Neurospora crassa OR74A: one gene and its partners. The protein of the gene in region 1 interacts with the protein of each later gene in a pairwise test. Links are inferred from orthologs where the notes say so. Each region holds a gene or a part of one and is shown in the gene's direction. Other genes may lie near its edges.

Region 1 (3,943 bases):
AGGGAAAGGCGGCATGTGGGCAATTTCCATAAACGGACCCGGTAGTACCTACTAGTCCCAATTCTGAACGTCTACGTGTAAGTGCATCTGGATCCCACCATTAGTTCATTCCCTTACACCGGAGTTTTGGTAGCTCATGGCAGAAAGGCTGGCACTTTCTCGGGTACTACATGGCCATCAACCGAATGAATGGTCGTTAGAATACACTTTTCATGCTACCTTTGGAAACTAGACTAACTCTCAGGCAATTTTGCATGGAGAAATTCCCAGGTAACTCTGGCTGATGTCTTTTCGACTTTTTTTTTTACCATCCCTCTCGAAATTCTGTGATGGCCTTTCCTGACTAAAGCGAGCCGTGTTGGACTGTCTAATTCGGTTATATTTACAGCCACTTCGTCGTCATAACTGGAGGTCCAGTCTCTTTCGTCATTGGCGTGCTTGGATAGACACAGGAAAAAAAAAACCTCTCTAGTGATCGACAATGATGGACACCAAAGAGCCCATTGCGCGTTGACTACTGGTACCAGAAGGTGGGTGTCATGCCAAACTAAACCCTTGCTGGCGCCCTATGATATACTGCGATAGCCGCAGAGAAAATCCAGAAGAACGCTGAAGGTGGGTGTCATTGCGAACCGTATGCCGTGGTACCTCTATGGGTGGACGACCTGAGGTGGGTTCGATGGACGGGATGATGACGCCGCAGGCAACCTAGCATTTCGACGCTGAAGCGGACAGGGGATGGTGATGCTGTGCTGTGCTGTGCTGTGCTGTGTTTCACAAGCAAGAGCTTTTTCGCCCAGTTGGCGGGGCAGATGGAGGTGTGGGGTTTACTGCAGTTTGGAACACAGTCTCGACTTCTGCGATGATGGGAAACGGTAATCCCGGTAACTGAAAGGCTGCAAAATGCGGCCGGGATCGCAGGAGGTTCCTACTATGCAGTACACAGATACACAGTGCTGGATTTAAGCTCTGTGGGTCCTAGCCAGACGGTGGTCCCACATGCGTCCAGCTTTCATGCTACCCCACATGGCGAGGCAGACCAATCACATGAAGCTCCCACTTGCCTGCCCCAACCGACCCCAAACTGTGGCTGAAAATTTCTGGTCCACCGCGACAAGGCTACTATTATCGAAATCTTCAAACTGCGACTTTCAACAAGGCTTTGCAACTGAAAGGCATTCGCAGACATCGTGGTAGTTGGCAGCATATGCCACTCGACGACATGATGCCGCATTCCGATCGCGAAATCACATCCGCCAAGCGGCAGAAGCTCAATGCCTCTGTCGTCAAGTCCAAGGCGCCTCAGAAGAAGAAGAAGGGTTCCTCCATCTTTGCTCCCTTCAGAGTACGTCCCTAATAGCCGGTCGCATGAAGTCCTCAAACTAACACCAAACTCACCACTCATAGACTGTAGGCTTGGTATCTCCAACAAGCGTCCCCTTTACCTCCATCCCTCTCGGCAAGACCACCTTCCAGATCACTACCTCGGTCGGCCGCTCCCTCCAGACCTATGACCTAAAGAGAGGTCTCAATCTCGTCTTCGTTACCCGCCCCCAGACTCCCGCCGACATTACCGCCACATATGCTTGGAAGGAAAAGGTATTCGCCGCTTGGGGTAACCCTCAAAATGGCGAGGCCCAAGGTATCTGGGTTTATCAGCGCGGAAAGAAGGTAGCCGAGCTTGAGCTGCCCGCCGACCTCAACCAGCCCATCAAGCAGATCCTCATCTTCGGTTCCTGGATTGTTGCATGCGCCCAAACCCGCCTCGAAGTATGGAAGTCGGCCACCCTCGAACACTACACGACCATCTTTTCCGTTGCCGCAAAGAAGGGCGACAACGAGCTCACTGGTGGCGTAGTCAACATGCCTACCTTCCTCAACAAGATCTTGGTCGGTCGCAAGGACGGTTGGGTAGAGATCTGGAACGTCAGCACCGGCAAGCTCATCTACACCATCCTTCCGCCCTCTCCCGACGCTGGATCTGTCACCTGTATGGAGCCTACCCCGGCACTTTCGCTTCTCGCCATCGCCTACTCGAACGGCCCTCTCGTCATCCACAACGTCCTTACCGACAAGGCCTCCCTCAAGTTGATGGCCGGATCCGAACACGCCCCCGTTACAAGCATCTCCTTCCGAACCGACGGTCAGGGTGCTGGTCAAGATGGTACAAAAGATGGCGTCATGGCTACCGCCACAAGCATTGGTGGAGATGTCACATTCTGGGATCTCAACAAGGGCGGCAGAGTGATGGGTGTACTCCGGAGCGCCCATAATCCCCCATCACACACCGACAAGACTGTGCGCGGAGGCATCAGCAAGGTTGAGTTCCTCCCAGGACAGCCCGTTATCATGACCAGTGGTTTGGACAACTCGCTCAAGTCCTGGATCTTCGACGAATCGCCCTTCTCGCCCGTCCCCCGTATCCTTCACATGCGCAGCGGCCATGCCGCCCCCGTCAACTGCCTGCAATTCTTGCCAACCGATTTCGATGGCGCCGAGGCCGGCAACAAGTGGCTTCTCAGTGGTGGCAAGGACAGGAGTCTGTGGGGCTGGAGTTTGCGCCGCGATGGCCAGAGCTCTGAGCTCAGTCAGGGTGCTCTTCGCAAAAAGGCCAAGAAGGTGGGTATTCTTGCTAATACCGCCCTCGGCGGCCACGGCCCGACTACATCTTTGGACGACCTCAAGGCTCCCGAAATCACATGCATCGCCTCCTCGCTCAACCGCGATGGCGGCATGGGCGCTATGCCCGGTAGGCAGGTCATCTGGGACAAGGGCAATGACAAGAGCAAGCCGACCAAGTCCGAGCTCGCTGCTATGACCGGCTGGGAAAGCGTAGTAACAGCTCATAAGAACGACCCCTGGGCTCGCACCTGGTTCTGGGGCCGCAAGCGTGCTGGTAGGTGGGCGTTCAAGACCGGAGATGGCGAAAATGTTTCTACCGTGGCTATCAGCCCTTGCGGCAGTTTCGCTCTTGTTGGCTCCGTTGGTGGTAGCTTAGACATGTTCAACCTCCAATCCGGCCGTCACAAGCAACGCTTCCCCTCCCGACTCACTCCCGCCCAGATGCGCCAGTTGAAGATGCAGCAACTTAAGGCTCTCGACAAGGTGAGCCAGCTCGAGAAGCGCGCCTCCTCCAAGACCTCCTTTGCCCCCGGCTCGGGCAAGCACACCAAGTCCGTAACCGGCATCGTGGTCGACCCGCTAAACCGCTTCGTGATTTCCTGCTCTCTCGACGGCACCGTCAAGTTCTGGGACTTTGTCACGGGCAACCTAGTCGACGAGATTGACTGGGCGCCCATGGTGCAGATCACGGGCTGTCGCTACCACGCCGGCAACGATCTCATCGCTTTCGCGTGCGACGACAATTCGATCCGCGTTGTCGACATCGAGACCAAGCAGACCATCAGAGAGTTCTGGGGCTGCCGCGACACCATTAACGACTTCACCTTCTCCAACGACGGCCGGTGGATCGTGGCCGCCTCGCAGGACCGCGTCGTCCGCGTCTGGGACCTGCCGACGGCTCACCTCATCGACGCCTTCCGGCTCGAGAAACCCTGCACCGCCATCGCCTTTTCCAACACGGGCGAATACCTCGCCGGCGCCACCGAGGGCGAGCTGGGCGTGCACATCTGGACCAACAGAACGCTGTTCAGACACGTGCCGACCAGACAAATATCCGAGAAAGACATTGCCGAAATCTCGGCCGGACCTACCAGCTCAGGCGAGGGCGGTCAAGGTCTCATCGAGGCGGCCTTTGAGGATGAACAGGAGGACGAAGAAGATGAGGGCGTGTCTGCGCCGGTCCTCGATCAGCTCAGCGCCGACATGGTGACGCTCAGTCTGGTGCCCAAAAGCAGGTGGCAGACGCTGCTGCACATTGACCTGATCAAGCAGCGCAACAAGCCCAAGGAGCCGCCCAAGGCGCCTGAGAAGGCGCCCTTCT
Region 2 (4,237 bases), on another chromosome or scaffold:
GAGCTTGTGGGGTACCTCGATGAAGAGGCACGACTCGGCGGCGCGCTCGGGGCTGACGGCCACAGGAGCGGAGATGTACGTCTTGGTGTCGATGGTCGCGCCAGCCTCGGTGCCGATGGTCAGGTGGACGGCCGGGTGGGGGAAGGTGCCGGTCTCGGGGGAGGCGAAGAAGTTCTGGATCAGGGCGCTGAAGCTGTTGAGCTCGTGCGAGGTGGTGTACCAACCCAGCAGGGTCTCGCGGGGGTTGGCCTTGAGCGTCAGGGCCAACATGTTCTTCTGGTACTCGACGTCCACCTCAACCTGGTCCTCGTTCTCGGTGTGGGGGATGGCGAAGGTGGAGCGGACTTCGACCTCGCTGCCGTCCTCGCTGCGGACACCCACGAGGGCACCAATCACCCGTGTCGACTGGGTGTCGCGGTCGTCACGTCTGACGGCATGGTCGATGATGGAGAAGACAGCCTATTTGGTGAGGAAAGCGAAGGGCTACATGTCAGCTAGGTGTTGTATGGTCTTGGGCAATGGTAGTGGTGGTAGTGGCGGTGGTGACGGCGGGGTAGCAGAGAGGATATAGGTAGGTAGGTAGGTAGGTAAGCTTGACATGCGCAAAGGGGGACATCAAGGTAGGGGACTAGGTAGATAGGAGTGGAGGGGCAGATATAGGACTGTAGTATGGAAATTGGTGCTGTTGACGTACCTGAGGCTGGATGTTGACGGTAAGCGGGGCATTGCTGACACCGAAGCCAAGCACATTGGGCGCAAGGGGGCGCGAGAGATGGACGAAAGACTCCTGATCGACAGCCATTTTGACGACGGGCTGGGCTGTAGTTGAGTGAGAGATGGTGGAGGGGTGGTGTGGTGGTTGATAGAGGAAGCAGGACGGGAGTTCGAGGAGGAGGGGAGGAGCCGTCGAGGTTGAGATTATGGGGCTCTTTGAAAATGTAGACAGCAGACGCTGTTTTCGGGTTCGGGGTGAGAGAGAGGCTAGCGGTTGGCCGGGGGGTGGGGTGGGCTTGCGCTGGTGAAGAGTGGGCACGGGCTGGGCACTGGCAGAAAGAGAAGTCACTTTTTACGGTTGTACACTACACTTTTTTTCACTGCCGAGAATGGGTGTCAAATGTCAATGGCACTCCAGTGTGAGGGTAGGTCTCGGTGGCAGCCCGGCCATCGAGTTGGGTCCGTCACTGTTCACAGGCAGTCACTAACTTCCATTCTCTCGCCCTAGACCGGGAGGTACTCCATCCAGCTTTCGCAAAATATGGGGACCAGTAGGCGGTACCTCTGCTCGAATTTTTGGTTTTGCAGCGCAATGCGGGACCTTTGGGTGTTGTGCGCGCTAAGATAAGATAAGCCGGTCTCCACACTTCCATGTTCAGCTTGGCGGACTTGAGATTGTTCTTTCTTCAGTTCGCAAGGGTCAAGGGGGAGGGGTGGCGTTACAAGGCTGCTCTTTGCCAAGCCCTTCCTTCAAGATTCCATTGGACTTTTGGACTTTTTCTTCTTGGCTCGTTGACAAGGCTGAATACAATTTCCGTATCGTTTTTTTCACCTTTGTTGAATCTGATTTCACACATCAATCACCAATTGTCATATCACCAACCTCACATCTCATAATTTGAGAAAACTCTTACCGCATCAAAATGGCAATTCGAGGTCGCGGTGGTGACCGTGGAGGAGGAGGAAGAGGAGGAGGAGGTCGTGGAAGAGGTGGTGCAGGAGGTTTCAGAGGCAGAGGAGGATCCAGGGGAGGGGGCTCCAGAGGAGGCGCCAGAGGAGCTTCGAGAGGGCGCGGCAGGGGAAGTTCGAGGGGTGGTGCCAGAGGAGGTTTCGGCCCTCGCTCATCCAAGTTCAACGACGCCCGACTTGCCGACAAGGACGAAGAGTAAGAAAATTTCAACACTCAAGGGCAGAAAAGAACTGGAAAGCATACTGACTGAAACAGGGAAGATGAGGAAGAGGACATCTCTGAAGAGGAATCCAATGTTTCTGAGGATGAGATTGAGGAATCAGAAGAGGAGGATGAGGAGGAGGATGCCCAGTCTGGTCAGCCATACATGAGTCTTCTGAAGAGCTTCCAGAGTGCAACCAAGACGAAAAAGAGGAAGTTGGATCACCCGGAGGAGGAAGGTCCGAACAAAGTTACCAAGACGAAAGACGACGATAACAGCGACGACGAAGACAATGAGAAGGTGACGGAGGACGTGGATGCAGTTGACGAGCCAGAGGAAGATCCCCAGGATGCACCATTAGAGGACCTGTTCGACGAAGATGACGACCTCGACGACTCAGACCCCTTCGAAACTCACTTTACTGCCCCAGACGAGGCGACATTTCAGGCTAGGATAAAGGCTATTCAGGCGAACAAGTGGAGGACCGACAGGATAGCAAAAAACTCCAACAGGATATACTACAACACCCCAGAGACAGGCGACTCAGCTGAGCAGAAACTTCCCCATTCCATTTCTGGAGTTGGCGATCTTAAGCTCAAGCAACGATTAGCCGAATCGATGGCTAAGCACACCGAGTTCGACGAAGCTGAGAAGGCAGTAGCACCTCTTCTCTTCAACTATCAAGACATGCTTTACTGCAACCGGTCAGTGGCATCGTCTGAGAGCATAAGGCGGATGGCGTGTCTGCATGCGCTCAACCATGTTTTCAAGTAAGTCTGATGGGAACACGAAAAAAAAAAGAGTAAACAGAGAGCTGACTTTGATACCTACTCAGGACTCGTGACCGTGTAATCAAGAACAACACCAAGTTGCAAAGAGACGACACCCTTGAGCTTAGAGACCAGGGCTTTACCCGCCCCAAGGTCTTGATGATTCTCCCTACCCGCCAGTCATGCGTCAAAATGGTCGAAATGATCTGCAAGGTCGCCGCTCCTGAGCAACAAGAAAACCGCAAGCGTTTCGACGATGGCTATGTCGACAAGTCCACCAAGTTCTCTGACGACAAACCCGAAGACTTCCGCGACCTCTTCGCCGGCAACGACGACGACATGTTCCGCCTCGGTATGAAGTTCACTCGCAAGACCATCAAGTACTTCTCGCAGTTCTACAACTCGGACATCATCTTTGCCTCCCCTCTCGGTCTGCGCATGGCCATCGGTTCCGAGGAAGAGAAGAAGAAGCTCGACTACGACTTCCTCTCGTCCATCGAGCTCGTCATTGTCGACCAGGCCGACGCCCTGCTCATGCAGAACTGGGAGCACGTCGAGTTCATCTTTGAGCACCTCAACCTCCAGCCCCGCGACGCCCACGGCTGCGACTTCTCCCGCGTGCGCTCCTGGTACCTCGACGACCAAGCCAAGTACTTCCGGCAGACGGTGATTTTCAGCGCCTTCAACACGCCCGAGCTGGCCGAGTTGCAGCGTCTTTACTGCCACAACTGGGCAGGCAAAGCCCGGCTGCAAGCCGAATACCCAGGCGTGATCCAGTACCTGGGCGTCAAGACGCGCCAGACCTTTAGCCGGTTCGATGCGGCCTCCATTGCTGCCGACCCGGACGCCCGCTTCGCCTACTTCACCAAGGCCATCGTGCCGACGCTGGTCAAGCGGGCCGCCAAGGACGCGGCGGGAACGCTCATCTTCATCCCCTCGTACCTCGACTTTGTGCGGGTGCGCAACTACTTTGCCAATAACCCGGCCGTCGAGAGCGTCACGTTCGGCAACATCTCCGAGTACGCCGACACACCCGAAGCGTCGCGCGCGCGCTCGCATTTCCTGACGGGCCGCCACCGCGTGCTGCTGTACACGGAGCGCGCCCACCACTTTAGGCGGTACGCCATCAAGGGCGTCAAGCGCGTCATCTTTTATGGCTTGCCGGATAACCCCATCTTCTACAGGGAGATTGCGGGCGGGTACCTGCAGAAGAGCGAGCAGGCGCTGATGCTAGAGCACGGGCAGGGGCACGTCAAGGTCATGTTCAGCAAGTATGATATTATGAAGCTGGAGAGGATCGTGGGGACCAAGAGGGCGGGCAAGATGATTACGGAGCAGGGCGATACTTTTGATTTTGTGTAAAAAGGTCCAGTCAGTCGTATGGTATGTATGTATAAAGGCGTCGGATAATCAAAACTGCCAAGGGGATTGGGTTTACATAATGGATTGAAAAAGTTGGTTGCATAGTTGTTAAAATAGAATACCTACTACTGCTGTACGTACCTAGTGAGCAATAAGACAACATCCTGAAAGTCACCAGTCTATGGAACGGGGCATATGGTTTGCCAGTCTCCCAAGTCC
Region 3 (4,190 bases), about 2.5 Mb from region 1:
TCATCAAATCGCGGCCAGCTCTCGTTGTGGTGAGGAGAGTAAGAGTTTCTAGGTGTGTCAGGATGTTGCTGCTGTCGGGATCGCGCTGCTTGTCTGGAGGCAATAGCTGAAGATCGGTAAGCATTTCCAATGCCTCATCCTCGGGATAAACTTCGCCGCCCATGATAGGAAGTAAAATGTAGGGTAAGATATTGACGTCATCCTCATCCAAAAACGCCGGGTGCGAAGGAATGTCAAAAGCAGCGTTCTTGATAATGCTCGCCACTCCCTTTCGCCTGATATCGGACTTGTGTTCGGTAAAGACCTTGATCTTGTTGATTGGAATAACATCGTCGTAGTCCTGTCTGTTGACAAAGTAGTGCCGGATCTCTTCATGTTTCGAAAGGTCGGCAAAGACGTAGGAGAGGTAGTCGTAATCGGCGTGCTTGTTGTAAGTCCCGTCGGCGCCCTTGACGAAGAGGTCCATTAGTTGGTTAATGACCCTATCGTCGGACTTGAGCTTCTCTGGAGCGGGCTGTTTCCGGTCTAGAAGACTTTTGAGTCCATCCCACTTGGTCAAGTTTGCCAGCAACATAGCCATAAGATTGGCGTTAACCTCCTCGGGCTCCTATAGGAACGGGATCGAAGCGGTTAGTCCTTGCTGCGCACGCACCGTAGGAGCTCAGAATGGATACACATACGACAAGAAGCCCGAGGAGGATTCCAAGGAAGCGATCATCGGTCGCGACGTATTCCAGCACATCCTTCTCGGCAGTCAAGTTGATCAAGCATGTTAGGGCGTGCTCGGCGATTTTCTGCACATGGTACCGACGTCTTAGCTGAAGCTGCTTGGGCGCAAACAAGACAAGTCTGTTGGGCCTACCGGGTGGTCGCGGATCAAGAACTTGAGATGCTTGATGGGGGTGAGCTCGTCGGTCTTGAAGAGGGCGGGCTGAGACGCTGAGAAGGGCACCAGGTTCTCTGTCGCGAGAAGGCGGATGTTGGCGTTCGGCGAGGCAATGAAGCCCACGAGCTTCAGGCGATTATAGCGATTAGTTGTCTGTCCACTGACATTGACACTGCACTGGTTCTGGCAGAATTACCTCTTCAAGTTCGGTCGGCATGTTATCAATGGTAGCTGGATGTATGGTTGTATTGGACTTGCTATAAGCTCGTAACCGTGGCGAGCGAGGCTATGATGTCGCGACTTCCCTTGCTCTTATTCATGCAGTGGGCCAAGCTGCAAAAACTGTAAACACAGGGAACAAAATTCCAGGAATTTGCAACCGAAGAGGGGCACAGTGACGAAAATGCGGGGCAATAAAATGTTTATCGCTGCTCCGCCGGGCGCGTCCAAGCTAGACGATAAGCGATAAGAGGTATTGTACCGCTTATCATTTTCACCGCCCTGGCATCAGAAAATAAAGTGTGCCCACACAGCAAAGAAGTGACCAACCACAAGCGTAGCGCAAGCCTTTCAAGTGCCCAGACTTCTCCACGGCGGGAACAAATTGTCCAAGGGTCGCCGAAAAAAATATCCCCAATTGCCGTGTGCAGCCAAGTCGACATCGCAAAGAGAGGGGACAACCAGGAGAGCTCCGTATCATCAACTCTTCCCCCGATTGCACAACCCTACCGCCATTCAAGATGCCCAAGACAACAGCGGCGACGTCGAAGAGGCGCCACAACCCCCTCGAGGCCGACCTCGTTTCTACCGGCGTCCTTAAGAACAACTCCGGCAAAAAGAGCAAGAACACTCGCGCCGCCAACGACGAAGATGAGCAAAAGTATGTCGACGCCAAGGCTTCGCGCAACATTTTGGCTATGAGCCGTAGCCTCATCGAGGAGGAGGAGAACCTCCGGACAACACAAAACGCAGCCTCCGGATCTGCTCCTTCGGCGTTCGAGTTCGATCCATCGAGATTCGACCGCAACGATGACGAAGACGACAAGTTTGAGAACGACGAGGCCTGGGGCGAGGAAGAGGAGGAGGAGGTAGAGGAAATCGAAGTCGACGCCACCGATCTCGAGACATTCAACCAGTTTATCACACCCACAATGAACGAGGACCCGCTCCTAACACACGGATGGGATGGAAAGCCAGAAGGGGCAGAAGAGCAGGGTCAGAGCGTGAACCTGGCGGACCTTATTCTTGCCAAGATCGCAGAGAAGGAAGCCGGCGGCCCCCAAGGCGGGTACCGCGACGAGCCTGGCCCAATTGATGAGGATTACGAGATCCCCCCAAAGGTGATGGAAGTGTTTGAGAAGTAGGCTGGCCGTTATTTCTGTTACCCTCTTGGCAGACTACTGACAGACTCCTTCTCGCAGAATTGGCATGATTCTTTCTCGCTACAAATCTGGGCCGCTTCCCAAGCCTTTCAAGGTCCTTCCTCAGATCCCCCACTGGGAGGACATCTTGCCCATTACACAACCCGAGTCCTGGACTCCCAATGCCTGGTATGGTTGCTTCTTCCTGTTTTCGGGAGCCAGAGAAACGCTGCTGACATTTGCGATTGTTAGCTACGCGGCCACCAGGATATTTGCGTCCGCCAAGGAGGCTGTTCTTCAACGGTTTATGGAGATGGTGATCTTAGAACGCGTCCGCGAGGACATTCACGAGACCAAGAAGCTCAATGTCCATCTTTTCAACTCCCTAAAAAAGGCCCTCTACAAGCCTGGTGGTTTCTTCAAAGGTGTGTTATTTACTGCCTACGCTTAGTCAGGTTTGCTCAAAAGGGACAACCCAGCTAACCGTTGGCAGGCTTCTTGTTTCCTTTGGCGGCTTCCGGAACGTGCTCGCTGCGTGAGGCGCAGATCGTAGCCGGTGTTTTGACCCGGGTCACCATTCCGGCTGTTCATTCCGGTATGGCCATTAAGGGCTTGTGCGAAATTTCTTCTGCGCAGGCTTCTCAGCGCCTCGACTGCGTTAGCGCTACGAATTTCCTCCTCAAGACTCTGATTGAGAAACGTCACGCCTTGCGTAAGTCCAATTCCTAGCGTGCCAATGATTGTATTCTCTGACTTTGTAATACAGCCTTCCAAGCGCTCGATGCCCTCGTCTTCCACTTTCTTCGGTATCCCGCTTTCGCCACCGGCGGGCATATGGCACCCAACGCTTTACCAGTCATCTTCCATCAGTGCATGCTCTCATTTGCACAGAGATACAAGACGAACAGTGAGTTTGCTTCTTCCGTCGCTGTTTCACTATGCGTCCCTATTATTTTTGAGTACTAACCGCGGTCTTTGTGTAGTTACTGAGGACCAGCGAGAGGCTCTCCTGGATCTTCTCCTAACTCACGGCCATGACAAGATTTCGCCCGAGATCAGGCGAGAACTTCTCGCAGGTCGCGGAGGTGGTGTCCCTGTCGCGCAACCCGGATTTGATGGCGATGACACGATGCTGGACGCTTGAAGAAACATCGGTGATCCGGTAATGACTTATAGACGATGAACCCTTGGTATGCAACGAGGACATGTGGCTCATTTTTACCTGGTACGCGCATAGAGATGGGAGTCGTGTTGTTTAGTGACCTTGGTGGCTTGGGGCAGTCCTTAGACATTGACCCCTTTGATAATACTATGTCACGCCTCGACAGTGGCTACTACTCATCACGCCGCTTGAAGAGGAAGTGGTCATGCCAAGTCAGTCACCATGTACTACCCTTTGTATCTTAGTGGTGCTGACCAACCAGCAACATAATTGTTGACGACCTGTAATGCTTTAGTGCACGAAATTATAAATTCAAGATACCCGGTACAGCAACAGGAATTGTCGAGGAGCCTTGGAATAATCATTTTCAGTTATGTGAAGGAAGCTGCCTTTTGACTTCTTTGTTGCGTCAATCTGGCTTGGAATGCCCTTCTCCCATTTTTCCAAGTCCAAGGCAACCGCGATCCTCTGCCACGTTGTCGGAATCCTGAGAGAACAGTGTAAAGGGAAAGAAGGCAATGTAGCTCTCGCCTACTTCGATATCTCGTGTATCTGATGGCATCATCCCGTATTAGGTGCTTTTACCATACGAGTTTCTAGTGTTCTCTTCCTAACACCCGGTCAACCCGAACATTCTAAGCACTCCGCCCCTCTCGTTTCCCTATTTATTCTTGAGATTGCTTTCTTACCCCGAGACACCAAGTTCTACTCAGTATTTCCGCAAGATCAGGATTTTCGGCGCTGCTTTCTGGCGTTTCGCCTAAGAATCCCGACACCACCT

What was found.
Region 2: the proteins of NCU07011 (region 1) and NCU01022 interact in binary tests that used the Saccharomyces cerevisiae proteins (3 or more experiments, as listed by UniProt). The link is inferred for Neurospora crassa OR74A from reciprocal best matches to the Saccharomyces cerevisiae genes UTP21 and UTP25.
Region 3: the proteins of NCU07011 (region 1) and NCU08323 interact in binary tests that used the Saccharomyces cerevisiae proteins (3 or more experiments, as listed by UniProt). The link is inferred for Neurospora crassa OR74A from reciprocal best matches to the Saccharomyces cerevisiae genes UTP21 and ENP1.

The regions. Positions count from the first base shown.
Region 1 is NC_026504.1:4,898,668-4,902,610, forward strand, and holds the start of NCU07011 (WD repeat containing protein 36), read left to right. Parts: upstream 1-1,143; 5' UTR 1,144-1,207; coding exon 1,208-1,345; intron 1,346-1,407; coding exon 1,408-3,943. UniProt on the Saccharomyces cerevisiae protein: Involved in nucleolar processing of pre-18S ribosomal RNA and ribosome assembly.
Region 2 is NC_026505.1:2,700,885-2,705,121, forward strand, and holds NCU01022 (DUF1253 domain-containing protein), read left to right. Parts: upstream 1-1,437; 5' UTR 1,438-1,637; coding exon 1,638-1,879; intron 1,880-1,939; coding exon 1,940-2,656; intron 2,657-2,721; coding exon 2,722-4,018; 3' UTR 4,019-4,133; downstream 4,134-4,237. Other genes in the region: NCU01021 (eukaryotic translation initiation factor 3 subunit EifCf), read right to left, coding at 1-459, 695-802. UniProt on the Saccharomyces cerevisiae protein: DEAD-box RNA helicase-like protein required for pre-18S rRNA processing, specifically at sites A0, A1, and A2.
Region 3 is NC_026504.1:2,401,710-2,405,899, forward strand, and holds NCU08323 (bystin), read left to right. Parts: upstream 1-1,462; 5' UTR 1,463-1,626; coding exon 1,627-2,246; intron 2,247-2,307; coding exon 2,308-2,436; intron 2,437-2,499; coding exon 2,500-2,672; intron 2,673-2,740; coding exon 2,741-2,959; intron 2,960-3,013; coding exon 3,014-3,154; intron 3,155-3,230; coding exon 3,231-3,391; 3' UTR 3,392-3,690; downstream 3,691-4,190. Other genes in the region: NCU08324 (DNA-binding protein HGH1), read right to left, coding at 1-607, 681-794, 863-1,012, 1,083-1,103; NCU16789 (hypothetical protein), read left to right, coding at 3,834-3,909. UniProt on the Saccharomyces cerevisiae protein: Required for normal export of the pre-40S particles from the nucleus to the cytoplasm.